Notamacropus eugenii: one gene and its partners. The protein of the gene in region 2 purifies or fractionates together with the protein of the main gene of each other region. This does not show direct contact. Links are inferred from orthologs where the notes say so. Each region holds a gene or a part of one and is shown on either strand. Other genes may lie near its edges.

Region 1 (7,155 bases), on a different chromosome or scaffold from region 2:
CTCTTTGATTATGTTCGACTTAATTAGCTTTCAGAAAGGAGTATTTACTAAGCAGATAGAGAAAGGAAGATTTAGACCCAAATAACTCCCATCCCCCCACCCCCAGGCTAAGGCACACTCTCCTCTGGCACACACAAATCCCTGGGGAGAGTGGGCTCTAGTTTAGAGAACATGAGAGAAAGGGTTAACTCACAGCTCTTGATTTTTGGAATTCCTTTTCTCCTTTCATAGAGTTCTCAAGAAGTTTCCCTTTGGGATATGTGCTTCTCTGCTGGACTCTGATGGTAGGTGCTCTTGTACAGTCCTGTAGTTGCATTTCCTCAGTATTCTCTAGTTCTTCCTTGACTCCTGAAGCACATACTGCCATCAGCCACTGCTGTTCCAGGAACGCCGCTACCAATACAGATGTTCAAATCTTCCAACCCTTCCAAAGTCACAAAGTTTTCCTCTGATCAAGAGGAGGGGAGAAAATGCAGAAATTCCTCCTTACCTACCCCCTAAGAGATTCCCTCTCTGATGCTCAGCTGTAGTTGTTCTACTATTAGTCCGATCAGTTATAGGAAAGCCAGATTCTGACCTGGTTTGCTATTTTAGCCAACTTCAACCAACCACAAGACATTTCCTATGAAGCATCATCTGCTCTCATTCAATGACTCAAGTATTTTACTAATTATCTAAGAACTTATTCCTACCTAGTTTATACCTTTGACTGATCCTGACACTCTCCTGATAAAGCTACTAAGGCATAGAGCATCTTGTTCCTCACATTAACTGGGGTGACAGGCTTTAGGATGCTATCTACAAGTATTAATACACACACATATATATACACATATACACAATACTCACATAGATGTATACATTGCATATGTCTCTCTACATACACATACACATATGATCAATTTTTTGTTGCTGTTCAGTTACGTCCAACTCTTTGTGACCCTGTGGACCATACTGTCCTTTCTTGGCAAAAATATTGGAGTGATTTGCCCTTTCCTTCTCCAGTGGCTTAAGGCAAACAGAGTTTAACTGACTTGCCCAGAGTCACACAGCTAGTAAGAGTCTGAGACTGGATTTGAACTCAGGTCCTCCTGACTCCAGGCCTGGTGCTCAATCCACTGGGCCACAAAGCTTTTTCCTCACATGATCAACAGAGTAGCAGGAAAAATGTTTTACTTTAGGAAGTAAATGAGGTAAAATGAACTACAGGACCAAAGAAATCACTGCTTTTGGAAAGGATGATAATAGCTAGTATTTATATAACATAAGGTTTATGAAGTATTTTTACAAATATCTCATTTTTTCCCTCAAATCAACCCTGGGAAGTAGGTGAGAAAAGCGTGGCTCGAGGTTAAATGACTTGCCCAGGTCACACAGCTAGTACGCTTCTGAGGGTGGATTTGAACACAGGTCTGTTCTGACTCCAAGTCTAATGCTCTATACTGTTCTCTGCCCCGATTCTTATTAAGGCTTAGTCACTGAATGGGTGTTGACCCAGTCAAACTGAGACCTGTTAAAGCCCTTAGCTTGAAAAGGTCTAGGTCCCCCACTGCATCCTTGGTCATCTCCCATTGTTCTGATCTCTATCTGGCCACTAGACCCACAAGGCTCCAGAGGAGAAAGTGAGGCTGGTGACTTTGCACAGCCCTCCCTCACTTAAATCCATTTCACTAGTATGTCATGGCATTAACCTCCCTGATATCATGGTCCTCTTCTGGGAAAGGACAAACAACAATCCTTTTCACTGCACCACCTAGTTTCCTAAACTAAATATTCAATATTCAAGTATAATCTTTAAAACACTGCGATGATAACTATAGCTGGAAGGAACCTCGGAGGTTAACTAGTTCAATCCATTCATTTGACAAATGAAGACACTGAGGCCCAGGGAGCTTAAGTGATTACCAGGTCACACAGGTAAGAAATCACAGATTCCAAATCTATGGCTTCTTCCATCGGCTCCTCCTGATCTACCAAGAGGATAATGGACAAACCTGGTTGGCGTGGGGAGGCCTTTTTGCTGTATCTCTATGTTCCCTCTCAAGATGGATATAACAGTTCACCTTGGCAAGGCTCCTCCAAACTCTAAGGCTAGAGCCAGACGTGCTTATCTAATGGCCCTCTGGAGCTGTTACACTGACAAGTCTTCACCGGAGGACCTTCCATTCAGCATTCAGGGCTCTGCTTTGAGGTGGTGCTGGGCACAAGATGAACCCAGTGTCTTGCATGCAATGATTCATCACTATGGTCACACAGATCTGCTCCTTTCTGTTAAGGAACGTACAGAGATGAGCCAAATACGGGAGCACCAAGAGCAAGAATACTTATTCACAGCCATCTGAAACCACTGGGGTAATTTTTCAGAAGTTCTACAGGCAGCCCATGTTGGTGGCGAGAAGGCCGGCTGGACCCAGCTCCTTGGGCAAGCCTCCACGACATCCCCAGCCTGATAAAGGGCCTTTCTTGGAGGAGGGGTTTGTCCGCGGGCCAGGGCCAGGGCCAGGGCTGGCAGATCCATTTTGTCTAGAGGCAGCTCTGGCAGGTTCCTGCCTCAGTTTCCTCAACAGTAAAAAGAGGACGATAACGGCAGCTATACTACAGAACTGCTGTCATCACAGACATTCATAGAGCCTGGCACATACTAAACGGTCAGTACATGCTTTAATAAACCCTTTCCCTCACCTCTCAAACGTTCAGGATATTGTGCCTCTGTCATCGCGGGCACGTGTTGGACAACGAGTTCAAATCTAGGTCTAGAAGTCATCCAGTGTGATCAGGGGGTGTACCTGGGGAAAAGGGGGGGAGGGACCCCACCTGGTTCAGCAGACAGGTGCCCAGGGAGCCAAGGCTTGCGCCAGAGAAGTCCAGGCACGCACACACACGGACGTAAACAAACACTCATTCCCTCGCCACCTCTGGGTGGCAGAATGGGCTCAGTAACAAGTTTCCGTGGGGGCGCCTCCTTATTTACCCAACCGTTTCAGGAGAGCCTGAAGATCGGCTGAGGAGCGCCCGGCTCCGGGCACTCCCACGTGTGCGGACGCGGCTTCCTTTGAAGTCCCAGAACGTGGGGCGGCCCGCGGGCAGCAGGGGGCCGGGCGCCTCACGCCCCTCCCAGACAGCCCGCAGGTAGCTGGGCGCCCGAGGCTCGGCGCCGAGGGCAGCGGGGGAGCTCGGCCGGAGCTAAGAGCCGCGCTCGGCGTGTCCCCCTCCACGCCCCGCTCCCAGGCACCCCGAGCGATCGGGCAGCTCCCGCGGAGCAGGGAAGGCCCGGTCCCGGGGGCTGGTGGCGGTCTTCCCGCCAAGTGCACAGCAGCCCGACGAGCGCGGCCGGGGCCCGCTTTACATTCGGAGGTCCCGACACAAAGGGCTCCAGCTCGGCCCCGGAGGGCAGCTCCTAGCGCTCCCACCAGGCCGCCCAAGGCCTCTCCTCCTGCCTCCCCCTTACAAACGATTAGTTCTCCCGGCTCCTGGTCTACAGCCCCCACCCACGGAGCAGGCAAAGGGCGGGACCCACAGCCGAGAGGGCTGAGGCGGGCTCAAGACGTTGGGCGGGAGATGGCGGGGAGGGGGCGGGGCGGGGCTGACCTGGGGCTGTGGAGAGAGGGAGCGAACACTTGCCCGCGCGCTACCAGATCAAACTCGCGCTTCCACCAGCACACTGGCGGCGCCCCACCCTCTCCGTCACCAAAGGCGCCGGACCAATGAGCAGAGAGGAAAATCGGGGCCTGAGGGCCTCGAAAGGGGAGGTGGCGGGAGGTGGGGGAGGGAAGGCTACTTTTGACTGGCAGGCAGCCGTGACCAATCCCCGTGCGGTTTCCCCTTGTCCTCCCCGCTCCACTCCTCTCTCCCTTGCCTACTACCCCCCCACCCAGGCTCCCTCTCAACCAGGCCTATCTCCCCTCCCCCACTCTGCGGGCAAATCGCTGCTGGAAAGAGGCGGGGGCCTGAGCGGCGGGCTCGTGTGGAGGCTTTAGGTGGGATTGATGGGTCCGCCAGCCAATGGCTGCGTGACTGACGGCGCGGCTGTGGCTAGCTCCGACCAATAAGCCGGCGGGCTGGGGGAGGAGGCCCAGGTTCCAAACGCTCCGCGGCGCCATGGGCTGAAAACTCAACCGAGATGGAATCTCCCAGTCTGAACCGGTTTCAACCGGTTCCGAGTTTGTGGCACTAGGAGGGGGAGAAGCGGCGCGGCGGCAGCAAGAGCAGCAGCAGCAGCAGCAGCAACAGCAACCTCCACGGCAATAGCTACAGCCCCAGCAGCGGCGCCTGCTCCCGTCTTTGCTGCTGCCGGCCGTGCAAGCACCCGGAGGGGGAGGAGGGAGCCGCCAGTCGCGGAGGAGGAAGAGGAGGGGAGAAAGTTTAGGGGAGCCGGGTTGGGGGGGCCCAGCCGCCGGAGCCGAGTGAGAGAGGGCACTGCGTTGTGGTGGGGGGAAGTCGGACTGCACCCGGCAGCACTGAGCGTCCCCTGACTGGACTTCAGCGGCGACCCCCCCCCCCCCCCCCCCCCCGCTGCTCCTGCCTGGCCGGAGGGTCCCCTTGGGGCTGAACCTCTGGGACCTGACTTCCCTTCTCCCCTCCCCCGCCCCTCCTTTTCCACCCCAGCGGGATCGTTGATTCATCCGCTTCGTTATCGTTATTTTGGGGGGAGGTGCGTGTGAGGGGGGGAGGCGTCACTGGAAGAGTAAAACGTTATTGAGCTTTTTTTTTGCCTTTTTCCTCCCCTCTCATTTTTTAATTTCTCTTTTTTTAAGGTGGGCAAACTGTGAAACCCACCTTCGTCTCCCCTCCTTCCCCCTTCCCCACCTTCCCTCATCCCCTCCCAGCCCCCCACAAGGAAGGACGAGGCAGTTGGTTCAATCTCTGGGTAAGTCGGAACACGTAATGAGCGATCTTGGGGGGTCGGGGGGTGTAGTCCTGAGGGTTCGGGAGCCCGAGCTGGATCGAGGAGAGATCCTGGGTGGGGTGAAGTGGGAGGATCGGGGGGGCGGTCCGCCGCGCGGCGGGGGGAAAGGCCCCCGAGCGGGGTACGGGCCGCGGTGTGGTGCGGTGCCTGCAATTGAATGGAACGGCTTGTAGCGCTGGGGAGGTGGGAGGGGAGGGAGGTGGGGTGCACGGCCGCGGGAGGCGAGCCGCTGCCGCCCTTGGGGAGGGGGCGCGGGGCCCGGGGGCTGCCCCCGTCGGCCGGGGCGATGTGGGGAACGGCTCGGTGAATTATTATGAGTGGAAGTTTCCAGAAATACTGAGTGCAGCAGCAGGAGCAGCAGCATTGAAACGTCCGCCTGCGTCACGTGGCCCCTGGTAGAGGGAGCTGGGATCGGGAGGAGGGAGGGGCTGCGGTGGAGCCAGGCCCGCTCGGGGCTGCTCCGGCGTGTGCGCGCGTGTGTGTGTGTGGACGTGTCCACGCGTGCATGTGCCCGTGTCCGGCCGTGGCGGAGGTCCTGAGCGGAGATGGCCGTGTGCGCGGTTAGACCCCTAGAAACGCGTTTGCTAGGGCTGGCGTTGTGTGTGAGTGCTTTCATCAGCCCTCTTCCGGGGGTGGGAGGGAGAGGGGCAGAGCAGGAGCCCTTTCGGGGGTGTTTGAATTCGGCCACGGTCGGCTCGCCGTCACGTCCCTGGCTCGTTCCCCGGGGCTGGGGCGCTGAGCTTGGGTCTCGCCTGGTCTGCATACCTTCCCCGAGTGAGGGCGGGGGGAGGGCCCCTGGCGGCATTCTATAGTTAGAAGTGCAGCACAGTCAGTCTGGGTGGGAGGCCGGAGGAGAGCAGGGGAGGGCGTGTTTCTCCTGAATGAAGCTGGCGACTGCCCGCACACCTTGTAGCGACTTGTCTCTGACCTGTGGTGAAGTTAGCTGTGAGCTACGGTTAGGGGATGGCAGGGTGGCTGTTGGCTTGTTCCTGTTGAAGTGAAGAGCCCTCACTATATACTAGCATGCTAGTACAGACCAGATAAAATGGTAATCCCGCGTGGAGAATGGAACCTAATGAACTGGTGTTTGGAGTGGAGGGGGCAGCAAGAAAAGGTATTTTACCTGGCGATTGGATGTTTGTTCCGGGTTTTACTAACACTTAAAAGCTTTTATGGAGAGAGGAAGTTTAAAACACTGATGGTTAGGAAGTTGAATTTTTTTGGACTTTTTTTGTTTTGGAAGTCAAAAGTGATTGACACTGACCACAAAGCTCCCATTTCTGTACTTTAAGAATAGGTAGGTCGTTTTGGATGTATAGTACTGAGAGTGGCACAATGCTGTGCTTATGGGGGGTGAACTACTTTGAAATGGATACTCTAGAAGATAGAAAATGGGGTGGGGATTGAGGGGCACCCTAACTAGTAAAATGCAGCACTTCAGTTGCATAAAAAGCAATATTATTATAAACTAATTTTCTTCCATCCATTGACAAATGGTGTACTTGAGTAGACCCAAGTAAAATGAAAACGTAAACTATTTCTTCCCTAATTATCCAGTCCTAATTAAAGACCACTTTTGAGGTGTATATTTCATGTTCTGTATGAGTGAATTTGTTTTCTCAATATAAATGATGCTACCCTTCATCTTAGAATTTTTAAAAATTACATTTGGGAAAGGAAAGAGTAACTGACACCATTGAGAGCATATGTGAGAGAGATTTCCATTTTTCTTTTTTGTCAGTAGTTATTTTTGACTCAAGATTTTGTAGCTATGCTTATGACAGGTGCTGTGTTCTAAAAATATATGTTGTGTAACACCTAGGTTTTAAGAATTGATGTCCTGGTTGTAAACTAGTTAATAGACTAGTAAGTTTTGAAAGTAGTTAAATTGTTCTATCTCTTTAGAAAGTCTTAAAAATAATTTCTGCTTTTTTGTGTCTTAGGGTAAATTGCATTTTTTAAACTTAGTATTGACTTTAGGATTTTCATTTTACATAAGCGAAATGTCATAACTTAATTTTTTTACTTTGAAACTAATACAATGAACCTATCTTCAGTGAGTACTCTAAGGCTTATCAAATACAAATTAAGCACCACCCATTCAGTCTTAAGGTTTTGCTTATAGTTTGAGTTTTAGAAAGTTACAGTGAAATAATCTCCAAATTTTTCAGTGATGAAAGTATTAATGTATTTTGGCTTTACACTTTGATAGTGCTGGTGAAAATTCCCAGATTTCTATACCATTCCTA
Region 2 (7,098 bases):
GTCATCCCCATGTTGTGGAATTACAGCAAGATGGTCAGCCCTTTCCGCCTTGTCCTCATTTCAGGGAGGGGCGTCTTAGGGGTTGGCCTGGCCTCCCATGGCAATAGTGACCCCAGGAAACTGGGGGTGCTGCCTCTGACAGACTGAGGACTCGCCTTGCCCCTTGGTGTATCCTGCTATGGCCCTGCTCCAGCAGTAGCCAGGGGAGAAAATGGGAGAATCTGAGCTCATAGCTACAAGTAGACTTGGAATCGGTCATCTTGGCTTCCTTGTCTGCTGCCTGTGCTTTTGGGTGGGAGGCAGAGGGTGCCAGGGGCTCATGATCCTCCCCTCAAGGTCCAGGGAGGCTTCTAGGGATCACACTGTCCCCTCAGGCATCATCTCAGGCAGTGAGGGAGCCTGCAAAGAGGGGGCAGCATAGGCCAGGAAGGCAGACAGTGGGCCTGTAGCAGCAGTCTCAGCCCCAACCAGCATTCCAAGAATACTCTTCCCAAGGCCACCCCTGTCTTGAGACTGAATCTTCCATCCATAGTCTGCCCACTGCCAGGGATTATCCATCTTGGCAGCCTTGGCAGCTGCGCAGTCTGGGAGCTGTAGGAGTCATTTCTCAGATTGCTGCTGTGGATGAAGCACACCAGCCTAGAAGAAACAGGTTGGCCTTCAGGGAACCTCTGCTCCTGGAAGATGCCCTGTGGCCAGTCTGCTGTCTGCCACCTAGATCCTGGGTTAGCAAGAACCTGCTGAGCCTCCTGGTCTGGTCTGTCTAAACAATCAGATTTATTAGGAAGTTCATTGGAAATGCTCCCTGCCCAGACAGGCTTTGGATCTCTGGTCACCTGCTGAGAGGCAACGACTTTGATCCTAGTGAGACCGTTGTTAACACAGGTTCCTGTGCTCTGAAGGAGGAGCCCTGTAGAGTATCCAGGTCTAGCCAAGGCTTTGGGCCTTAGCAGAGAGAACCAGCTCTGGGAAAAGCCTGGGAAGGCTGGGACTCCTTTGTGGGGAGGATGGCTGGTGGAGGAACTGTGATCAGGGTGGGGGCGGGGTGCTACCTCTGTGACCTTAGCAAGTCAATAAAAACACATTTCTATAGTGCTTAAGTTTGCACAGCACATTTCCTCATTTGACCCTAAGTCCAATCACCTGGTGAGGTTCTTGGCTTCCCAGCCACCCCAACTACCACTCACCCTACTAGGTCCAGTGATACTGGGTAGGCCGCTGTCTCAGGCCAACCAACCCTACCCACCCTTCCTGTTCTCTCATCTCTAACTGATCGATCGATCAACATACATGTATTATGTGCTGGCCCCAGGCCCCTCCCCAGCCCCATCTGTGGTGCCCTCTGGAATCTGCTCCTTCATTTCTCCTCCCTTTATTTTATGTAGATCTCTTCCTCTCCAGCTCTTCCCCAGATCTTGCTGAAACATACATTTCCCTTCCCATCTTTGTAGCACTGATCAATTCCATTTCTACTTGGCCACTTTCCCCTCAGCCAGTTCTCAGCTGAGTTCTGCTGAATGAATCCAAATCCGTCACTCGGGCCAAGTTCTTGTTGCTGTCTGTGCACATCCCCGCTCCATCCATTCTCCCTCCTTTGTGGAGACTTTGAGGGTCTGACCCTCCTCTCCCCCTCCTTCCCAACCCCTGCTCTTGGATTAGGTGATGTTCCCACAAATACCCTGGCCACCCAGTTCCTCAGTCTACTACTCCACTTCGATCTGGCCACCCCCCACCCCCACCCCCAACAAGTGACCCACTTCCCTAATCAGGAACTCTGAAATTCCTTTATCTGATTATAATTTGTCGGCAGGGATAGAGGGAAAGGCCTAGAATCATGAAGACCCCAGTTCAAATCTGGCCTCAGATACTTACTAGACATGTGACCACCTGTCTGCCTCGATTTCCTTGGTCTTAAAATGGGGGATAATAGGCTGTTCCTAAAGTCCTTGGTACAGCACACAGTGGGCACAATGTTGGTTTGCTTTCTTCCTGTGCCAGACTACCCCCTCTGTGTTGTTCTCCCTGTGCTATTCCATCTCTCCCCCACTTCAGCAATTTCGGGGCTACCTGTCCTCTGGCTCCCAATCAAAAGCCCATCTTTAAGCTGCTCAGCTCTCGGGCCCTGCTCCTCCCCAGAAAACCCAACCTCTGCTTGCTAGCATCCTTTCCTGGTGCTACTGGGTGGGTGGGGAGCAACCCAAAAGACAGAATCTCTTCAGAGAAGCTGCTGTCCTTTCATTGGCCCTCAGTCCCCTCTCCACCAGAGCCCTCCCACACCAGGTCCACATCACAAATGACCCTGAGCACTCCCCTTCTCAAAGTCACCAGACCCTTTGACATCCTTCCTCATTCCCTTTTTGGAGAGGTGGACCTTCTCACCAAGGCCAGCAGATCATCCCCCTCATCCCTCTCCTTGCCACCTACACACATGCTCCATCCCTTTTCCTCTCCTGTCCCTTTTCCCATCAGGCTTCCAACCTCATCCCCAGAAAATGCTTTCTCAAAAAACAAAAACAAAACTAATTGCCAGAGACCTTTTTCTCCATCCTTATCCCATCTTTACTGCCACTTTAGCCCCTTTTCCTGGATCCGCCTCCTCTCTAGGTTGGTGACTTTTGGTCTGCCTGCCTGACCCCTCCTTGTCAAGTGTCCTTGGCTGGACCATTATCAATATCTGACCCCCAAGGCTCCATTTGGGCCCTCCTCTGGGTACAAAAAGTAACCTTGTCAACCTCTGAGATCTACATTTCTTTGCACAGTCAGCTTAAGGCAGGTCTACTAGATCCGAGGACTGGGTTTCTCTTAGGAGCTCCAATAGCACATCGCCAGCTGCCTATTAAATATTTCCAAATGTCCAAAATGACTTATAAGCTCTAATTCCCCCCCCCCCCCCCCCGCACAAAAACATCCTGGTGAGTGCACTATTGACCTTCCAGTTCCATTAAATTCAATGTGTGTTCGTCCTTTGTTGCCAAAGAAGACCATGCCATCAGAGAAATGGTGACATGACTTGCACTTGACTTTGTTCTGAGTGACGGAGGGCTGTGCCAGTCACCAGCCTCACTTCTCCTCCAGAGCCATGGGAATCCAGGGACCAGATATTCCTCAGGATGACCGGAGATGACCCAGGAGGAGGCAGTTGGGGTTAAGTGACTTGGCCAAGGTCACACAGCTAGCGAGCGTCCAGCGTCCGAGGTGAGGTTTGAACTCCGGTCCTCCCGACTCCTGCACCGGGGCTCTATCCACTGCACCTCCTGGCTGCCCCATTAAAGTCAATAAACATTAAATGCCTACTATGTGCTAAGCTAAAAAGACCGTTCCTACCCTGGAGGAGACCCCAAGCGGAGGCTGTACAGCGGGGGCTGCGGAGCCGCGGGAGGCGCGTCCTGGGGCAGGGCTGGCCCCCAGCCCCGCCCCCTGGATCGCCAGGTCTGCCCAGCTGCACCCCCCAGCGCCTGCCTCACGGTGACAACCTGGCACACCCGCTTCCGGACTCGGGGACCCCCGCGTGTCCCCCGTCCTGCGTGGCCCCGGTCACAACATACAGGAACGCCCGCAGGTGCCCACGTGATCATCGCTGACTGGGGCACGCCGCGGGGATGGCACGTGCCCGGAGTCACCCCCGGGCTTCCGGACCCGGGGCCCAGAGCGCCCCGCTGCCTCCGGCCAAGTTCCCTGACTGCTGGCCCAATGTCACTCCTGCCTTTGTAATCCCGCCGCTGGGCGGCTACTGGGCACGCAGTAGGCGCTTACTAGGTGCATGGGGACTGACGGGGAAGGGATCGAGAGGCCTCCGCTGCCTCGGGGGCCCCGCAGCCCTAACCCGCGAGCTTGGGACTAGGCGCCGGGGAAGTCGGGGGCGGGGCGGGGCCTGGGGGGCGGGGCCTGGGAGGAGGGGCCTGGGAGGAGGGGCCGGAGGCCGCGCCAGCCCAGCCTGTCCCAGCGGGACGCGCAGGCGCAGAGGCATCTCGTTCGCTGGCCGCGCGGCCGTGTGCGCAGGCGTGGCGTGCCCCAGCTCCATTGTTGCGTCCGGCTCCGCCTCGCGGCTCAGCGCCAGCCTCGCGGCGCGTGGAGGCCGGCTGGGGCGGGGGCGTGCGCAGGCGCGTCGGGGGGGAGGGGAAGGGGGTGCGGTGGCTCGCTCTGAGGCGCAGGCGCTGTGCGGAGCGCCGAGGGGCTTCGTCGTTTGTCAGAGCCGGTGTCCGGCGTTCCCCGGCTCGTCATGGCGGACGACGGCAAATCGTACATCGGTGAGTGCCAGGGCCCGGGCCGCAGGCGGCGGCCGCGGGCCGTGGGAAGGGGCCAGGCCTGGGGGAGACGGGGACGAGGCCGAGGCCCTGGGCCCGCCGGGTCGGTGGAGCGCTGGGTGCGGGCGGCGGGGGCGCGCCTCGAGCCGCGAATGGCGCCCCTGAGGCGGCGGGGGCGCGCCCGGCGGGGCGGGGGCGCGCGCGGCGGGCTCGGGGCCGGGCCGCAGTAACCGTAGGTCTCGAGGCCCCCTCCTTCCCCCCTCCCCCCCGCTGAGTGCCTCCTCCCGGGTGGGTCCGGGCTGGGGGAGGGGCGGCCCTGGCGCGGGACCCCTTCGTTTATACCAGGAGGGGGGCGTCTGCGGGTCCCCCCAGGCCGTGGCCCTGCCAGCCGCGTAGTCAGACCTCGGTGACTCAGTTTCCCCCACGTGCCAAACTCCCAGAAGCCGGCGCCACCGGGAGGGCGGCCACGCCTGGGGTCGAGGCCGTGTTTTCTGTGGTCCGGCCCCCTCAGGGGCCCCGGACACGCCCTTCCTGTGGCCCCCGAAGGGAAGTTGTTGCGAGGGGTCCCTTAGCGTTTGTGGGCGCGCCTGGCCGGGGCTGCGTGAGACCTGCCCACCTCCAGGGGCCAGCCCGAGTGACAAAGGGCCCCTCCCTGCCCGCCCAGGGACGGGAGGGGGCGGGCACGCGGGCTGGGTGCCGTTGGAACTCGGGGCGCAGGGGGTCCTCCAGAGGGTCTGCTCAGGCATGGGCATCTGTGCCCGCACGGGGCTTGGCTGGTGGCATCAGGGCGGGCTCCGGGGAGTCACTGCGGTGGAGGGGCTGAGGGAGGGGGCCGGCGAGTTGGGCCTTCCAGGGGTGGGCAGGTGTGGCAGCCAGCGCAGGACCACGGGGCAGCAGGGAGGGAGAAGCCTGCTGTAAGCTGGGCCAGTTGTGAACAGCCACCTAGATAATTAACATTCTTGAGGCCACTTGGGGCCTTCGGCGTCCTTGGGTGCGGCCTTCTGAACAGTTCTTTTATTGGGGGGATTTGCTCTGTGAAGTTTGGGTTCAGTCAGAGAGCCGCACTGGAGGACCTAGAGGGCCACATGTGACCTCCAGGCCGAAGGTTCCCCAGGCTTGAGCTAGCGCTATGTCCTGAGCTGATCTTTGACTTCCACTCTTCCTGGTGGGCACATGCTGCTGTTGGCTCCAGTTTGAGGTGAGGAAACTAAGGCAGGCAGCAGGAAGGGCCTTACCCAGGGTCACATGCTAGGAAGTGTCTCAGGTCTAATACGGGGCAAAGGAGTTTGCCTTGATCCTGAAAGTCTTAGTGACAGGGGCCTATGCCAGCATGGCAGGGGCATCTTGGTTAGCCTTGAGTTTCAGGGCCTTGGGAGGATGATGAGAGAGAGGAGAGACTGGAGACCTAGAGGCCAGTGAGGAGGTGAGGTTAGCAGTGATGGCCAAGCGAAGCTGGCTGCTGAATGAATGGAAAGAAAGCCGTGGAGGGGAGTGGGTGTGTGAACCTGGGGCGGGGGGGGAACCGAGGGCACTCCTCCCTCCAAGCTGGCACTGACTGGAATGACAGCATCTGAGTGACCTGGGGCCTTTGAGTCATCTTCTCTAAAACTCCATCTATGCCTACCTCTGCAGATGAAACATGTACAGGAATAACTCTAAGAGGAATTAAAATGTTAAGTACCTAAGAGAAGTCATACCGTAAACAAACACTTGTGTGAGAGACCCATTTTTGTTATATTTATGGACACTTGTTTTTTCATCAAGTAATTCCCCCCCTCTCCTTCACATAGAGCCATCCCTCCTAACAAAGAATACAAAAAGCAGTTCTTCCCAGCCAGGTCTGCCACTTCTGTCTGGCAGAGTCTAGCCCCTGTGACCGCCCCCCCCCCCCACTTGTTCAGTGGGGCATGCTTTCTCACCTCTTCAGAAGGTCCTTGTGATTACACAGGGTGCAGGGTTGTGGGTGCTTGTCATTGTGTATATGATTCCTGGTGCACTGGTCAGACTTTCTCCACCTTTATATTCATTGTTTCTTACAGTGCTGTCATATTCTTTTCCCTTCCTCCCTGTAGTTTGTTTGGCTGGCCCTCCATGGATCCTCTCTTGCCTCCAGCGCTCACAGGGGCTGCTATGAATATTTGAAATATAGAGCCTTTCTGTCTCTGACCTCTTTGAAGTGCAAAGAATAGCACTTTTTTAGCATAATTTCAAATGCTTTCCAGAGTGGTTGAGCTAATTCATGGGTCTGCCAACAGAGAGTGCTTGTGTGCCTGGCTTCTTAAAGCTAGAGAGGCAGAATCTTAGGGGAACATGAAGATTTCATTTTTAAAAATGTGGAATTGGGAGAAGTGCTTGGGGTGGAAGTCAGGTTTTGGGAATCATCTACATAAAAATAAAACTGAAGCCTTGGGAATCCATGGGATCAGCCCTTTGGAGAAAAGCCGCACTTAGGGGGCAGATGAGAAGTTACTAGGGAAGGGAACTTGAAAAATTCTGTGTGAGGCAGCAGGGCCCCATTCACAGAGGTATGCCCCTGTAGAGATTCTGATATGGCGCACCCCAGTGTGGCAGACCCTGGAAGGGTAGCCCAGGAGGCCTGAGGCCTGTGAGTGGGCAAGACAGCAGGAGACTCATTCTCCCCCCCCAAAATCATGCTCTGTGAGGTCCACCAGGGCTGAGGAGAAAATGGAAATAGAGGGAATGTTAAGGTGTCCGGCAGGTGGAAATAAACCTGAGGGGACCCTCCCACAGTAGCCTAGAGGAAGTGCCTGGTGAGGACTAGACTGAAGGAGACAGCTTTTTCCACCTTGCCTTGAACCATCCTTGTGACTCCAGATTAAATTTTGAAAACCAC
Region 3 (7,634 bases), on a different chromosome or scaffold from region 2:
TAAACTCATTAGAGCTCGCAGGAACCTCAGCAGCCATCTAGAACAATCCTTTCATTTTGTTTTTAACAGACAAGAAAATTGAGGCAGATGTGTAGTGACTTGTTCAAGGTCATATAGCTAATAAGTATCTGGAGCAGGATTTGAACCAGCGCTTTCCTTTCTCCAAGTAGAGAACCCCATCCAGCGCTTAGCACAGCACCTTGAACACAGTAACACTTATTAAGTGTTTTTTGACAATGATGCCACAATCACTATGCCTCTTGAATTCACTAGCTAGGGTGTCTCATCATCTATGGCCCTTATAAATTACTGCATCTGGGAAACTGGAGTTGGATTCTTTCTTTTTACAGATGAGGAAACAGGTCCAGGTAGGAAAATATTCAATGTCACAACACTAGATAGTAACAGAATGACAGACACCAAGAGAAACATATGTGTCATGGAAATGGCTGCAGGCTGGAGTCAGGACAACTGAGCTCAGGTTTGGGTTCTGGTCTTATTATTAGTTGGTTGACAGGGTGGCTAATTCCTTTCCTGTCTACCTCATAAAGGCTCTGTGAGGATGAAATGAAATATTACATTTAGAGATGGAGAGGACTGTAGAAACCAGTCAGGCACTCCTCATTTTACAACTGAGGTCCAGTTTCTTAGACCTTGTCTAAGGTCACATAGGCGATGTGCCAGAGACAATTCTGGAATGCAGGTCCCCACCTCCCAGCCCACCAAGCTATACGTGTTCAATTCTGAGTATCATGGATTCTGAGAAGATGGGAAGGCTCCAGAGGTCATCCACCAGGATGGGGAAGGGCCTCAGACTCATGCTGTAAGGGGATTAGTTGAAGGAACTGGGGATGCTCACCCTGGAGAAGATTCAAGGGAGATATGAGGGCCAGAGTTCAAATCTGGCCTCAGACACTTAATAGCTGTGTGACCCTGGGAAAGTCACTTCACCCTGTTTGCCTCAGTTTCCTCATCTGTAAAATGAGCTGGAGAAGGAAATGACAAACCACTCTAGTATCTTTACCAAGAAAACCCCAGCTGGGGTCATAAGTCAGAAACAACTAAGCAACAACACAAATCAGGATTTGATTGTTTTTGTTGATTGTCTAGACTTAATAAAAAGATGGATAAAATGTTAATAATGCAAATTAAACTTAAAAGTGTATCTCAGGTTTGTTAGGCTTTTTTTCTTCTTCTGGAGAGCCAGTTGTTAAACATTTTAACAGCACATCTCTGCTTCCCCCTCACTGGGAGTCTTCAAGCAAAGACAGAGAACCACCTCATGTTCCAATGTCATAGAAGAGATTCTTCTTCAGGCACAGCTTGGTCTAATGGCCTGGGAAGCCTCTTGCAGCTCCCAGAGTCTGTGGTCCTGGGAAGTGAGAGGCTCTGTTTGTTCTAAAGAATTTGGATAATTGCTGAAGATACAGCTACCCTGCCCACTGGTGGGTCCCATGACTGTGTAGAAATAGATGGATCCTTCCCCAAGGGGCCCAGAATGTTACTACCCACTTGAAGACCAGGAAATGCAGACCCTAGAGGTAAAGGGAAAGAAGAAGTGCTGACCTCATCATTTAGCCTGGGGACTTCTCTTTGCTTTCCGCCTGGTTCTAAGCCCATTTTGGAGCTTTGTTGTTGCTTTGTTAAGTATTCTATACAATGAAATTGTTTCTGGTCAAGAGCAGAATATGGGAGACATCTGAAACAGTGGAAAGAATTGTGACTCTGAAATCAAAGGACCTGAGTTTGAATCTCACTTCTGTTACTATCAATGTAAGCTTGATAAGTCATGTGATTCCTCTCCTTGTATTTCCTGTAAAATTGAGGGGAAGGGAGTCATACTCCATCAACTGATCAACAAGCATTAATAAATCACTTCTATGTACCAGGTACTGTGCCCAGTGTTGAGGGCACAGCAAAAGCATTTCCTGCCCTCAAAGAGCTTACATCTCCAACAACATACAAACTGCAAATGCTAGACATCACAGTACAAAAAAAATCTCTGTCCAAGATCTAGGCAGTGTAAATGACAGGCTTCAGATCTAAGATTCGGTGACTTTGGGTAAGCTACTACTACCTCCCTGGGTCTATGAGGGGGGCCAGCCTTGATGGCCTCCAAAGTCTCTTCTGGCTGAAGATCTAGGAGCCTGGAAACAGTCAGAGAATGTGACAGTGGCTAAACAGCTTTGTCAAGGACTCATTTCAATCAGTTCAGGTGACTACCCTGTTCCAGAAAGCACGTTCCCTCATTTTGGAATGCCCCTAAATACTCAACTAAATAAACCACCCCAATTTATCTTGTTACTGAAGAAAGTCTTCTTGTGTCTGATGGTAATTTTCAAAAGCAAACCCCTCATTTAGGATATTCTCTCCACTCTTCCATCTCCATGGAAAAGAAACACATGTGAGTGAAATTTCTCTGTAAAGCATTTGCTGGACTGGCCATGTTCCTGACCAGTTGGACCCCATTCAACAGCCCTGGCTTGCTTTTATTTTCTTTCTTTCTTTTCTTTCTTTCTTTCTTTCTTTCGCAACATTCATTTTTGTAAGATTTTGAGTTCCACATTTTTTCTCCCTTCTTTCCTTCCCTTCCCCCTCCCCAATATGGCAAGAAATCTGATGTAGGTTATACGTGTACAATTATATTAAACACATTTCCACATTGTGAAAGAAGAACCAGAACATAAGGGAAAAAACATGAGAAAGAAAAAAAAGAGAAAATAATCTGCTTCAATCTGCATTCAGACTCCACAGTCCTTTCTCTGACTGTGGACAGCATTTTCCATCATGAGCCTTTGGAATTGTCTTGGATCATTATACTGCTGAGAAGATCTAAGTCTATTACAGTTGACCAGAGCACAATGTTGTAACAACCCAATTTTTGACAAACCCATCAAGGCCTTTTCTATCTATTTGGTATCACCAGAGTTTGTACCACTCCACCTCCTTGACAGCAGGTACTATATTTTTGTCTTTCTTTGCTGTTGCCACTGAAATTTCCAGTGTTTGTTGCAGTCTCTGAAACGTAGCAGGCTTAACATGTATTAAGATAAACGTCTTTTTTGAAAATTATGAAAATAATCAATGAACACTAACAATAGTGTAGTCTATGAAAATGAACTTCAGTTACATGTAATTTGTTGGGGTGTTTTGGTTTTTTTAAGTATGTTATCAAATGTAGCTAGGTGGTGCAGTGGATAGAACACTGGGTCTGGAGTCTGGAACATCCGCGTCCAAATCCAGCTTCAGACACTTACCGACCATGCGATCCTCCCCAAGTTACTTAACTCCTCTTTGCCTCCGTTTCGCATCTGTAAAATGCAGATACATTGGAGAAGGAAATGGCAAACCGCTCCAGAATCTTTGACAAGACGCAGGTAACCATCAAACGTAACAAAGTAGCAACAAAATTGCCAGTTTTGTTTCTCCTTTCTCACTTTCCTCTACACTTCGTTAGTGTTTTATCAGTGCTCTATCACCACCCAATAACTCACCTGCCACCAAAAAGAAGCTCCCTCCCCCTTATAACAAGTAAGGAAAACAAATCAACCCCTTGTCCCCAGTTGGCCGTACACAGGCGGTGTCCATCCCATGTCCATCACCGCCAGCCCTCTAAGTCCGAATCAATGCCATCCCAGTTCTGAAGTCTTTCAAAGGCTTTTCCCCCTCTTTTCACTATCATTGTGTAAGTTGTTCACCTGGTTCTGTTCGTTTCTCCGGGTCTCAGTTCACAAGAGTCTTCTCGAACTCCTCCTCTGCCACAGTCCTTATTTCTTTTAACAGTAACCTCCATCACATCACTATGCCACCAGTTGTTCAGTCGTCCCCTATCTTTTTTCTACAGTTGTTGCAATAGTTTTGTAGATTTCAGTCCCTTCCTTCTGGTCTTTGGTCCCCTTGGTCTAGGTCTGGTCTTGGTTCTGAACTGATGGGTCAATGGGTCCGTACAACGGTTCAGTGACTTGGGGGGAGGGGGAAAACAGGATTCCAAACTGCTAGCCTGACCCCAGCTCCACCAACAATGTATTAGCGAGCCTCCCCAACAATCGCCATTTTGTCTTGCCACCTTTGCCAGTCTGACTGCCTCAAGATGGAAGCTCGGGGTGGTTTTCGTGGGCATCTCTTTACTATTAGCGATCAGGGGCATCATCTTCCCCTGGGGGTGGGCCAGCTCCTTCTGACCACGCCCGGAGCAGCTGCGCTCTCCACGTGGCCCCTCCTCCCAGGCTGGGGGCAGCCCCCTCCCAGAGGACGACCCAGAACAGAGCCAAAGCCCCCATCCCTGCTTTAAGGAATTGAAGGCACTAGAGGGAGCCCCGGTGCTGGGGTTTTGTCCGTCCAATTTTAAATAAAGTTGTTGACAGTCTGCCGTTGCCAGGACCGAAAGCGGCGAGGCGCATCTCGGGAATGGTAGTCTCCTCGCCCAGCCCACGAGCCAGTCCGATTCGGGTCGATGATCTCGCGGGAATGGGAAGGGAGGAAAGCCGGTTTGTGGCGCGCACGGCTCTATGGGTAGTGTAGTCAGAAAGCGGTGCGGCTCCTAGGGCGAGCCGAAGGGACGGAACTACACTTCCCGGCTCCCCCGACAAGTTGGAGGAAAAAACGCCCGGCGGAGAGAGCCTGAGCAAATCAGATCGCAGGAAAGAAACTGCCGGCTTTCAAAAATTCTCCCTCGCCGCCATCATCGATCGGCGGCCCCGAGGCGCAGGGGCTGTTTGCGGAGACCGGGGCGAGACGCGTGTGAGTGTGCGTTTGTGCGGGGGAGGCTTGGTGCGCGCGCCCGAGGAGCGGGAGGGAGGGAGCGAGCGAGGAGGGTGGGCGGCCGTCGGTCACCGGCCTATCGTGACGCCGCGTTACGCCACCGCCTCCGCCGCCGTCGCCCGCACGCCCCTCGGCTCCCGCGTTTGATCCCCTCCCCCTTCCCCCCAGCGCGCGGACCCCCCCTTCTCCTCTCCCCCTCCCTCTTCCCGGAGAAGCCTTGCGCGTGCGCAGGAGGGCGTCCAGCGCGAGGTCCGAGGCCGCCGCTGCACGAGGCGCCCGTAGCTCTCCCGCCCGCGCGCACGTAAGTCCGGCGACTCCCGCGGGGCCCCTGCGGGCAGAAAGCGGAGGGAGGAGGGCTGCAGATGGGGAAACTGAGGCCCGGAGGGGGAGCGGCGTAGCGATTCGGAGCATCACGTGGCTCAGCTCCGCTTTTTACAGCGGGGGAAGCTGAGGCCCAGCGCGCAGTCGGGGGGCCGGCCGTTCGGGGGCCGGAGCCTCGGAGGGGGTGGGGAGAGCTCTAGGCTCAAGGAAGAGACCGAGACCAGGGAGGACCCCGCCCCGCTGACCCTCGTCCCAGGTGGTCACATGGTGTAGAGATCAGTGGAGGAGGGGGGACCCAGACCACAGCCCCCACCTTGTACCGGAGAACCCCGGGGCCCGCTTAGGAGGCCTGGCCGAGGTCCTGATATGGGAGGAGACCCCGAGGGGCCCGTCCGAGCCGGACCTGGCCTCCCCGCAGGGCCCCGCACCGCCCCGGCCCACCCACACGCAAGCCCCTGTGGACAGGCCCCCCAGCACCTCGGACAGTGCCTGGGGCCGGCTCTGCTCAGGCCTCCAAGGAGCTGCCTTCCGAGGGTTCCTGCCGCCCACAGCAGGGGAGAAAGGGGCGCCCTGCGGGGGACGTCTCCTCACCTTGCCCTGAGCCCTGGTACTCTGGGAAGGAAGGCGCCTGTGGATGGTTCTCTGAGGGTGAGCCCTCAAGGTGTGCCACAGGGCTTTAGGTAGAAACCCATCCCTTAGGACTGGGCAGAACTTGGAGCTGGAAGGGGGGCCACAGTAAATGTCCCACAACCAGAAATCAGGCCCTGACAGGAACCTGCTGGTCACTGTTCCATAGCTGGGTCTTGGGATTTGAACCCACATCCAATTTTCTCTCTAAAATCTAGCTTTCTTTCCCCACAGACATGTGAATGTTACTGATTACTTCTGTAATCTGAAGCTTTCTGCTTCAGAATCCAATGTTGCCCTAATTTCCACCCAGGTACTCAAACCTCTCCTGCGCCACCTGACCTTCCCTCACCTCAGGATAGAGGTGTCATTTAAAACCCCCATCGGGTTTCTATTTTGTGTCCCCTAGAGAGGGTGGTACCCCAAGACAACAGTTATCTTTCACCAGTCTGTGCCCCCCCCCCATCAAGGCTTTCTACAGGCTTATGCCCTCAACTTGGGGGTTCTTTCTGGGCTGCCCTGCCCTTGGAGGGGGTGGGGTGGTCTTTGTCCCGCAGTAGTAGGCCAGCCTATTGTGATGTAGAGTCTGCTGTCTCCTAGGAGCCCCTGCTTCCTGCCTTTAGCTCTTGATGAGGATAACTGGTTCTGAGTTTGAACCTTCAGTCTTTAGGTGACAATCCCTTTCTTCCCACCTACCCCTTCCCACCACCCTAGACAAGCCAGTGCAGGCACTGGGTTTCTCCCTGGATGGATCGCTTTAATCACTCTGCCCATTTGGGGGAGGGCAGTAGGAGATTGACCCAGGACAGCCAGTCACTAGTCCTGTTTACATTATGTTCTCCTGGATCTGCAGCCCTGCTGACAACTCCAAATTAAGGAAATCCCATGGTTCTGTCCGTTTTGTCCCAGCTGGTAGAGTCAGGGGGCAGCAGGAACTGAGGGCCTGGGAGCAAAGGGCAGAGCTTGTCTGCCTTGCCCTTTCATTGGGTCAGGCCAGACAGAACTCCCCTTTGCCCAGGGTTTCAACCTGTGTAAAAACCTGCTGTTTGAGGCACATCTCAGTAGGAGCTGGATGCTCACATCTGGAAGAGGGGCTGCTGAAGCCTTCCCCAGCAGACAGACCACTGGCCTGCACATGGGGGCCAGATCTGGATCCCTCCTCCTTTCTTCATTTCATTACTACCCTGGGGCCTCCATTACATTGCCCACGAAACAAGGGATTTGGACCCAATGGCCCTCAAGGTCCCTTGGAGCCCTGGGACCATTCGAGAGACTTTTCCCTCTAAATGCTCCCTCTGCACCCAGTCACTTGCGACCGCCCCTTTTCAACCTTACATGGCATAAGTCTGTAATGTGTCATGAGAACATATATTCCAGCCACCAAGTTGGTGTCTCACCCCTCTTGCCAGACACATATTTTGCTGGCAGGGACCAGCTCTTGCCTGTACTTTGGGTTTTCCCTCAGGACTGTACTCAATGTAGTAGGTGCTTAATAAATGTTTCTTGCTTCAGGGAGAGGCTGTGTCTTTCATGTTTAACATCCTCCAGCCCCTGCCCTGGGGACAATATGGCCAAAGCCCTGGCTTTGGGATCTTCCAGCCTGGGCTTCAAACCTGACTTTGCTGTTTCTCAGCTGGGACCTGAGGCAAGCAAACACCCTTATTCTTCCTGTTGATCCCTGGCTTTAGTGAGGCCCTGGAGATCTCACCAAGGCATTATGGGGATTGTGAAATAGCAAACAAGTGGAATGGCTTTGATGATGAGGGATGGTGCCTTTCTCAGCAGCCTGGGGAGGAAGCTTAACAAAGCAGCTGAGACCATGGCATCTGAGGATATTGCCAAGCTCGCCGAAAGCCTGGCCAGAACCCAGGTGGGCGGAGGACAGCTCAGCTTCAAAGGCAAAAGCCTCAAACTCAATACGGCAG
Region 4 (7,639 bases), on a different chromosome or scaffold from region 2:
AGTCAAACCTGGTTGAAGAATAGTGGCACTATGAACAAAATAGGTAAGTTGGGAGAAGGAAGAGATTGATTTATAATTCTTTAGGATCATAAATTTAGAATTGGATGAGGCACTGAAGATCATCTAAGTCCAGCTCTATCAATAAGTCTTTGCATGAAAAGTGCATGAAAGGTTAGTGGAAGGATTCTTTTTCAAATCTCAGGGGTGATAATTACAAATATGACTAATAAGTATAGGGCAGTGGCCTTATACAAACTCTGAGAAGCTCTTTTCCTACTGGGTAGTGCAAGTGGCAGTGATTTGGGACAGGGTTTCTGGGAGAGGAGGAGGTGGATACTTAAAATCCATCTAGAAACAAATCCCAACCTCAATCATCACTGAAGTCAAGTGCTAGACATTTAGGGCCATGCTTCTCTTTGGTGCTTCCTTTCTCCATTTGTGGCTGACTCTGATGTTCATTTTAGCCTGATTTAATTTATGTAAAAAAATGGTGAGGGCTATGGGTGCAAAGCCCACAGTTCAATTTTCTCTAAGTCAGCAACAGCAGCAAACTATCTTTATACAGTCTGACCTTGTGCCTGGAGTACATCAGCTTCCCTTTCACCTCTGTGAAGTCTGTCCTGCTTCCTCAGTTCTTACAGCCCTACCTCAAATTATCTTGTATTTACTTAGCTGTTTACATAGTATCTCACTCAGGAAATGTAAACTCCTTAGAGTAGAAACTGGTTTTTGTTTTTGTATCACCATCATCAGGTAAGCATTGATTAAGGGCCTCCGATGTAGCAGGTACTTAATAAACCCTTTGTTAAAAAGAATTTAATTGTTTTGGGAATCATAATAGGACAAGCATCCTCCGGGTTTTGGATTTGTGCCAGAGGGGGAGGAGTTTTAGAGGCAAAAATCTAATTCCATTTTAGCAGAAGAGGCTAATTCTTTTTTAGCCTCCTACTCTCCCCTAAGAAATCTGCCAAAGCACAGGCCAAGGTACTCTGATTTGTCCTAAATTAAGGAAAGTTATTGCCTCCCAGTGTCAGTAATTACCACATAAGAGTTATCAATTATCAAATCTGATATGAGAAAAGTTTTTTCAAGTATGGAAAAAATTTAATAGACAAGAGGTATACCTTGTGCATATTTGACTTTGTCTCCGGGGCTGAAAGGTTATGAACAGAGCTTCGTTACTACATTTTCTGTACTTTCCACACTGCAAGATAAGATTTAACATGTACACAAAATGTTGCTATGTATATTGTTCCTTGTAATATTTAACTTAAAGAGTAAATGTAGTCATAATCTAGCTAACTGATCTGAGGTAACTCAGTTATTTACCATAAAAATGTATTTGCTGATGCTTGGAATAGTTACTTTCTAAAATGATAAACTTTTTATTAGGAGAGCAAAGTAATCAGATGACACAAATATTTTTTAGAAGACTATACAGTTTCAATGACTTTCATTCCCAGTAAATGAAATATTGCATGCTTTATGGTTTCACCTATGTATTATTAATCAAAACACCTAAGAGTAAAAATTGAAGATAGTCTCTGTTGGCAAAGACAATATTAATGCAAAAACTTGGAATTATGGAATTTTAGAGCTGAAAGGAACCATAGTGATCAACATAAAATACCTATTTTTATTTACAGAGTATAATCAAGTCACCAATTCAAATCCTAGTCTGGAGAAATTTGCCTTTTTCTTTAGACAAGCTAGAAAAATCTTCAACACACAGGTCTATTTTGATTTGAACTCATACACCTGACAGAAAGGTGTGGTCAGTGTGAGCTCATATTTTCTTTGGTTTTTTAATTGGGGGTGTGTTGGATTCTCCATTTAACTATTAGACTAGACTTGTAAACCAACTTTCACAGTTAGTATTGTTGACCTGAAAACTTGGTTAGAGAAAAGGCAACAGGCTAAATGCATACATTTTATGATTTAATTAATTAATTGATCAGTTCCCCATAAAGAAAAGTTACATAGCGCTATGGAGTCAGAGGTGACTCTGACTACCTAGTACAGAAATCATCTGTCTTAAGTACATTTTGCCATGAGAAAGAAACTCTCCTAATTAAGCAAATCATAACTTCAGGAAGACAGGACAATTAACAAAGCAATGTCAGTCAGGCCTTGAGATTCCAGACTGGGTAAGCATATGTCTCGGTGATAAGGAAAGAAATTCCACCACTAGTAATTCCATTCCCAGCACTCCCCTAAACAGATAATTGACATAGGAAAGGGTAAACTATGTTCAATAGAAATTACGACCTAAGATGTCTATATTTTCTTTACCATTAATATGCCATAACATAGTAAGATACAAAGGAAAGTCCCATTATTCAAGATATAGTGTCTTAGGTTAAAGGTCTCCTTAAGGAATGTAGAGTCAGCCTTGGCTGGCTTTTGCTGACATAGGAAGAGGCATTCTCTGAGTTTACTTCAGAGAGAACAAAGAGATTATTCCAAAATTTTATATTAAACATTATCAGTATGTTGGTAATGAGTTGTCACCCCACTGTTCCTTCCTGGTTTTATTCTTACCTGTCTGACCACTCCCCCTTGGCATCTCCAGAGGGGTCAGTAGGGCCCCAGGGATAAGTCCTGACCTCTCCTCACTCTTTGTCTCAGAGGATTTATCATTTTCATAAACTCACTCATGCATCCTCCTAACTTCTATTTCTGTCACTCCACCACCATCCTTCCAATTACCCAGGTTTGAAGCCTAGGAATTATCTTTTACCCTTTCCCTAAATCTACTCAGTACAAAGCTCAGTGAAATCCTAGGAATTCAGAGCTGGACAAGAGGTCATCTAGTCTAAACCCCACATCTTACAGATCAGGAAACTGAAGCCCAAAGAAATTAAATAATTTGCCAAAAGTCCTATAGGCAGTTAAGTAGCACCGGTAAAATCTGGATCCCTAGGAGGACTTTGGCCACCTAGTTCTCACTGTCCAAATTAATAAGGTTTTGTTGTATTTACAACTCTTCTTTCCCAGAAAATATGAGAAACATTCTACAAATATTAGATTAATCCTTACCAAAAACTTCATTAAGCAGGTAAGCAGAAAAACTTTTAAGTCTCCATGAAAATGAGCACCATCTATGTTCCCGTAGTTTACCCAGACCATCAGACTTTCACCCTTTGGTAACTCGCTAGAAGTTTAGTTTTTTTCCTGTATTCTAAATCCTTCAGAACCTATCCCCGTACATTCCTGATCAGGAGTTGTGGGACAATTCCGGCGGCTGGGGAGGCGTTCTTAATTGGGGAGAATGGGTGGTGGGGCTGCAGATGCGGGGACGTCAGGATCTCGTCCGCTAACCGGGGCTAGCGCGGAGAAACCCACGTGCACTTTCAACGTGCGCTGTTACAACGCTCCTAGGTGGACACGGTCAGTCCTCCTGGATGGAGGACCGAGGATCAGGACACGGCCTGGGGCCTGGGGTTGGCAGCGCTTCTGTCTGTTTCCCCAAAGTTAGATCCCTCCTACTACACACCGTAGGATGCCCCGGAGAACGCCAGGTGACCACGGACTGGACTTCCTTCTGCGCACTCCCCTCCCCCCCGTCTGGGCATCCTGCCACGGGAGCAACAGTTCAAGCCGTGGGAGGTCTGTGAACTTGGGTGACCAATAAAAATGACTTCCTTATTTCTACGTAACAGGTGTCCTCGGTCATTCTGTGTGTCTTATTGTGGGACCGGGTCCGTCCAGGGCACCAAGAGGGTTAAGATGCTCTTAGGATTGAGAGATAACAAGCCCGGGGGCAAGGGGTGGCGAGCGACTGCAGACAAGCCCATTTTGGGGTTAGAAACAGGGGCGGTGCAAGTGGGGCTTAGAGAGGATAAACAGCAAGGCAGAGGGAGGGAGAGGTGCGAGGAATACGAGTCCCCCAAACAGAAACGCCGGATCTAGCGCTGGGAAGCGGCTGCCTCTCCCCGGAGGTCCTCCAGCAAAGGCTGGGGGAGGGGAGGGGAGGTTCGGGTCCTGGCCTCCGGGCTCTACACTGGAAGGGGCGGGGGGGGGGGGGGCGGTGATTGCTCTCGCCGCGGGCGGGGGTGCGTGGGGGGAGGTCTCCTCCTCACCCTGGCTCAGGCTGCCGACTCATCGATTGGGAGATGACCTCTCTGGAGGCCGGCGTCGGAAGTCTCGGCGGCTACGCTTTACTGTCTCGTGTTGGGGCGCTCCAGCTGCACTAGACACATGACCCCAGCCCCGGGGTCCCGGACCTGGGAGGGAGGGGAGGAGAGAAGAGGGGAGGGAAAGGAAGGGGAGGAGAGTGAAGGAAGGCGGGAAGAGGGTTGGGCAGGAAAGGGCGAGGAAAGCGCAGGCTAGAGGCGGAGCGAGCGCGGAGGAGCCCGGTGTTCCCATGACAACAAATCCCCCCGCCGCCTGGGATCCCAGCCCCCACGGCGTTCGAGCTCCTTCCGTGTCGCTTCTCTACCGTTTCCGCCTCGCGCCTTTGTGTGGCGCGTGATGACGACATGACGCACGCGTACGGCCGAGGAGGAGGGGCCCTGGTATATAAATTCAACTCCAGGAGCTACGGACCCGGGAGTTGCTCTAACCGCCGAGCGGAGGTAGACAGTGTCTCGACCTAGGCCGGGTCATTGCGAAGCGCTGCGAGCCCCCAGGCCGGACACCATGTCGCGTTACGGGCGGTACGGAGGAGGTAGGAGGCCGGAGAGAGAAACGAGGGAAGGGGATGGGACGGGTCACGGGCTGGGCAGCGCGACCCGAGGCGGGCTCAGGCTGGCGGCTGTTGGGAGACGGTTGTTCCTCGTGCGTAATGGCGGACCTCGTCTTGGCGCCATACGGAGCCATAGTGGGGGGGTGGGGGGAGGGGAGGCGTCGAGGGAAAACCTCGGAGCGCGGGCCTGTCTGTGTGGGAAGACCCCGCCGGAGCGGCTCCTGCGTTCCGCCGTGCTGCGGCAGACCTTCCCGGCCTGTACGTAGCCGCTACCCCCCTTTCGCGCCGCTGGCGGCGGGAGAAGGTGGCTGCCATTTTGCGCACGCTGCCCCTCTTCGTGGCGCAGGTCCCGGGGCCTTCGCCTCCCCCTCCCCCTTACAGTGCCCGGCCGGCCGGCCCGCGCCCCCCAGACCGGGTTAGGGCCGGTGGGGGAGGGGAGCGCGCGGTGCCGCTGCCGCTGCGGCGGCGGCGTGGGAGTTGGGGAAGTGCCCCGCGCGCCGGCCCGAGGCCGCCTCTGCCCCAGGCCTGCTTGGGGCCTCGCCCTGCCGCGGCGCAGAGCTGGGGCCGGGCCCTGCCGCCCCGGAGCCGCTCCGGCTCCCGTTCCGCTCCCCGGGCCGAGGGGGGGCGGAGCTCGGGGCTCCTCCCTACCTTTGTGCCCGAGCTCGGCCCTGGGGCTTCCCGGCAAGCGAGCGCCACGCTTAATTGTGTTGCCGGAAAGGACAAAAGAAAACGTCGGCGCGTTTGAGGTAGTAAGGCTAAAAAAAGTTTAAACGTCTTAGAGACAACTTAAAAAAAATGCAAAACCTGTTCTGTCGTCTAGAACCCTGCTTACGGCAGCCTTGCCCGTTATGATGTGGCTCAATTTTAAGTTGGATTGAGGTCCTGCTAACGTGCAGTCTTTTCTGTTTCTTCTGGCAGAGACCAAAGTGTATGTTGGTAACCTGGGTACCGGTGCCGGCAAAGGAGAGTTAGAAAGAGCTTTTAGTTACTATGGTCCCTTAAGAACCGTATGGATTGCCAGAAATCCTCCAGGATTTGCTTTTGTGGAATTTGAAGATCCAAGAGACGCAGAAGATGCAGTTCGAGGACTGGATGGAAAGTATGTATAGAATTTGATGTCTCAGAGTTCCCATATAATTAGTCTGGACAACAAACACGTTAGGATGTACCTGTACATTTTTGACGTTACATGCGTTGATCCAATTTTTCCAGGGTGATTTGTGGCTCTCGGGTGAGAGTCGAATTGTCAACAGGAATGCCTCGAAGATCTAGATATGATAGACCACCTGCACGTCGCCCATTTGATCCTAATGATAGATGTTATGAGTGTGGGGAGAAAGGTCATTATGCTTATGATTGTCATCGTTACAGCCGACGGAGGAGAAGCAGGTATTTATTTGGAAAAAAGGAGCGGTTGGTAACGGTTAATCATGTAATTCTTTTGTTAGCAAAGAAGAAAATACTATTTTTTTCTATAAACTTTTTATGTGTTAATTGTCAGGTGTATTTTACAGTTTGTGTTTAATTTTAAAAATGTTAATATATTAATAATCAACCTGGTCAAAACCTTTCAGGTTTCTTCGTTTGAGTCAGTCGCCTTGATTCAGAATGTCACGAGCCTTAAGATATCATGCTGAGGCGCCTTGCAAATCCGACAATTAAGATCCTCCTAGACCTTGAGGTGATCAGCATAAGAGGCCAGATCCCCTCGAGCCATCTACACCTAGCTTCACTTTATTCTTTAAAGGGCAGAAAATTTGAGACGGTGATCGCCGTAACAGTAAATTTGGCTTTCAATTGGGGCCCCCCTCCGGTTTAGAAAGAGGAACACCAGATTGACCACATTCCCACCTAGAAAAATCTTCTTGCGTCAATCAAGCCTCACCTGGCTCATTTGGCTGTCAGTTTGATCGTCGTTAGATTGAAGAAAACTTCTAGATGCAGCGATCGGCTATAGATACTTCTAGATCGTCTAGATCTGCTAGACCTTGGGCCAAAGAGGGTCGACCTGCAAACTTGCAAGGTTTATTTTAAATACACATTATAGTGTTTTATATTATGTAATTCTGAAATGTAATTCAGCTTTTAACAAATCTTTTCTAGGTAGTAAAAAAAAAAAAATACTCGACAGTTAATAGGCCCTGAGTTTATTTCCAACTGACAGACACTGTTTTAAATAGTTGTCTGAAATTTGATTTCAGCAGAGGTACACAAACATTAGTAAAGAAAAGATGGAATTTTAAAATCTAACACTTGTTTTCTCTAACTTGAAAATAGGTCACGATCTCGATCTCACTCAAGGTCCAGAGGAAGGCGATATTCTCGCTCACGCAGCAGGAGCCGTGGCAGGAGGTAGGCTCTTGTTTATATTTTTCAAAAAAAATTTTCGTTACAGACAGTGTTCGTTTCTTGCAGTGGTTGACTTAAAAAAAATTTCTTTTTGCAGGTCAAGGTCTGCATCTCCTCGAAGGTCAAGATCTGCATCTCTTCGTAGATCTAGGTCTGCTTCGATCCGATCTCGATCTGGTTCTTTAAAAAGATCGAGGTATTTCCAGTATGTTGAATTTTATTATGTTTAACTAGATAAAAACTGTGTTCTTTTGGGATTTAAAAAGTCCCATTTTGCTTGATCTTGATTTTTAAAAAAATAGGGAGGAGAGTGAATTAGTTGTAGAATCATAAATTTAGAGTCAGAACTTCAAAACCTAAAGGACCATCCAGGTCCTGCAGCAGAGCCAAGAATGGAATTCCAGATTCTCTTAATTTCAGATCCAGTGTACTCTGTATCATCTTCCCTCCTCTATGTTCCTTACTGGGGAAATCTGATTTCCCCCTCCCCAATACCAAACTTAGAGTGCTTTGTAAGGTACTCTACATTTGTGATATTGCTGTCACAGAATTCCGGAACTATGAAATTCTGCCAAAGCAATTAACATTCGTAGCCCATGTTCT

The links.
Region 1: the proteins of NXF1 (region 2) and XPO1 purify together in Homo sapiens (affinity purification with mass spectrometry; 3 studies listed by BioGRID and IntAct, with this or other methods). This does not show direct contact. The link is inferred for Notamacropus eugenii from reciprocal best matches to the Homo sapiens genes NXF1 and XPO1.
Region 3: the proteins of NXF1 (region 2) and RANGAP1 purify together in Homo sapiens (co-immunoprecipitation; 3 studies listed by BioGRID and IntAct, with this or other methods). This does not show direct contact. The link is inferred for Notamacropus eugenii from reciprocal best matches to the Homo sapiens genes NXF1 and RANGAP1.
Region 4: the proteins of NXF1 (region 2) and SRSF7 purify together in Homo sapiens (affinity purification with western blotting; 3 studies listed by BioGRID and IntAct, with this or other methods). This does not show direct contact. The link is inferred for Notamacropus eugenii from reciprocal best matches to the Homo sapiens genes NXF1 and SRSF7.

Annotation. Positions count from the first base shown.
Region 1 is NC_092872.1:643,247,681-643,254,835, forward strand, and holds the start of XPO1 (exportin-1), read left to right. Parts: upstream 1-4,113; 5' UTR 4,114-4,867; intron 4,868-5,300; exon of another isoform or gene 5,301-5,508; intron 5,509-7,155. UniProt on the Homo sapiens protein: Mediates the nuclear export of cellular proteins (cargos) bearing a leucine-rich nuclear export signal (NES) and of RNAs.
Region 2 is NC_092873.1:15,879,531-15,886,628, reverse strand, and holds the start of NXF1 (nuclear RNA export factor 1), read left to right. Parts: upstream 1-4,098; 5' UTR 4,099-4,219; coding exon 4,220-4,247; intron 4,248-7,098.
Region 3 is NC_092874.1:300,353,811-300,361,444, reverse strand, and holds the start of RANGAP1 (ran GTPase-activating protein 1), read left to right. Parts: upstream 1-4,627; 5' UTR 4,628-4,740; intron 4,741-4,929; exon of another isoform or gene 4,930-5,062; intron 5,063-5,943; exon of another isoform or gene 5,944-6,022; intron 6,023-7,221; exon of another isoform or gene 7,222-7,354; intron 7,355-7,491; exon of another isoform or gene 7,492-7,494; 5' UTR 7,495-7,528; coding exon 7,529-7,634. Other genes in the region: uncharacterized protein, read right to left, coding at 3,258-3,264. UniProt on the Homo sapiens protein: GTPase activator for RAN. Converts cytoplasmic GTP-bound RAN to GDP-bound RAN, which is essential for RAN-mediated nuclear import and export. Mediates dissociation of cargo from nuclear export complexes containing XPO1, RAN and RANBP2 after nuclear export.
Region 4 is NC_092872.1:672,757,484-672,765,122, forward strand, and holds the start of SRSF7 (serine/arginine-rich splicing factor 7), read left to right. Parts: upstream 1-4,556; 5' UTR 4,557-4,641; coding exon 4,642-4,669; intron 4,670-5,605; coding exon 5,606-5,786; intron 5,787-5,899; coding exon 5,900-6,076; intron 6,077-6,964; coding exon 6,965-7,039; intron 7,040-7,133; coding exon 7,134-7,241; intron 7,242-7,639.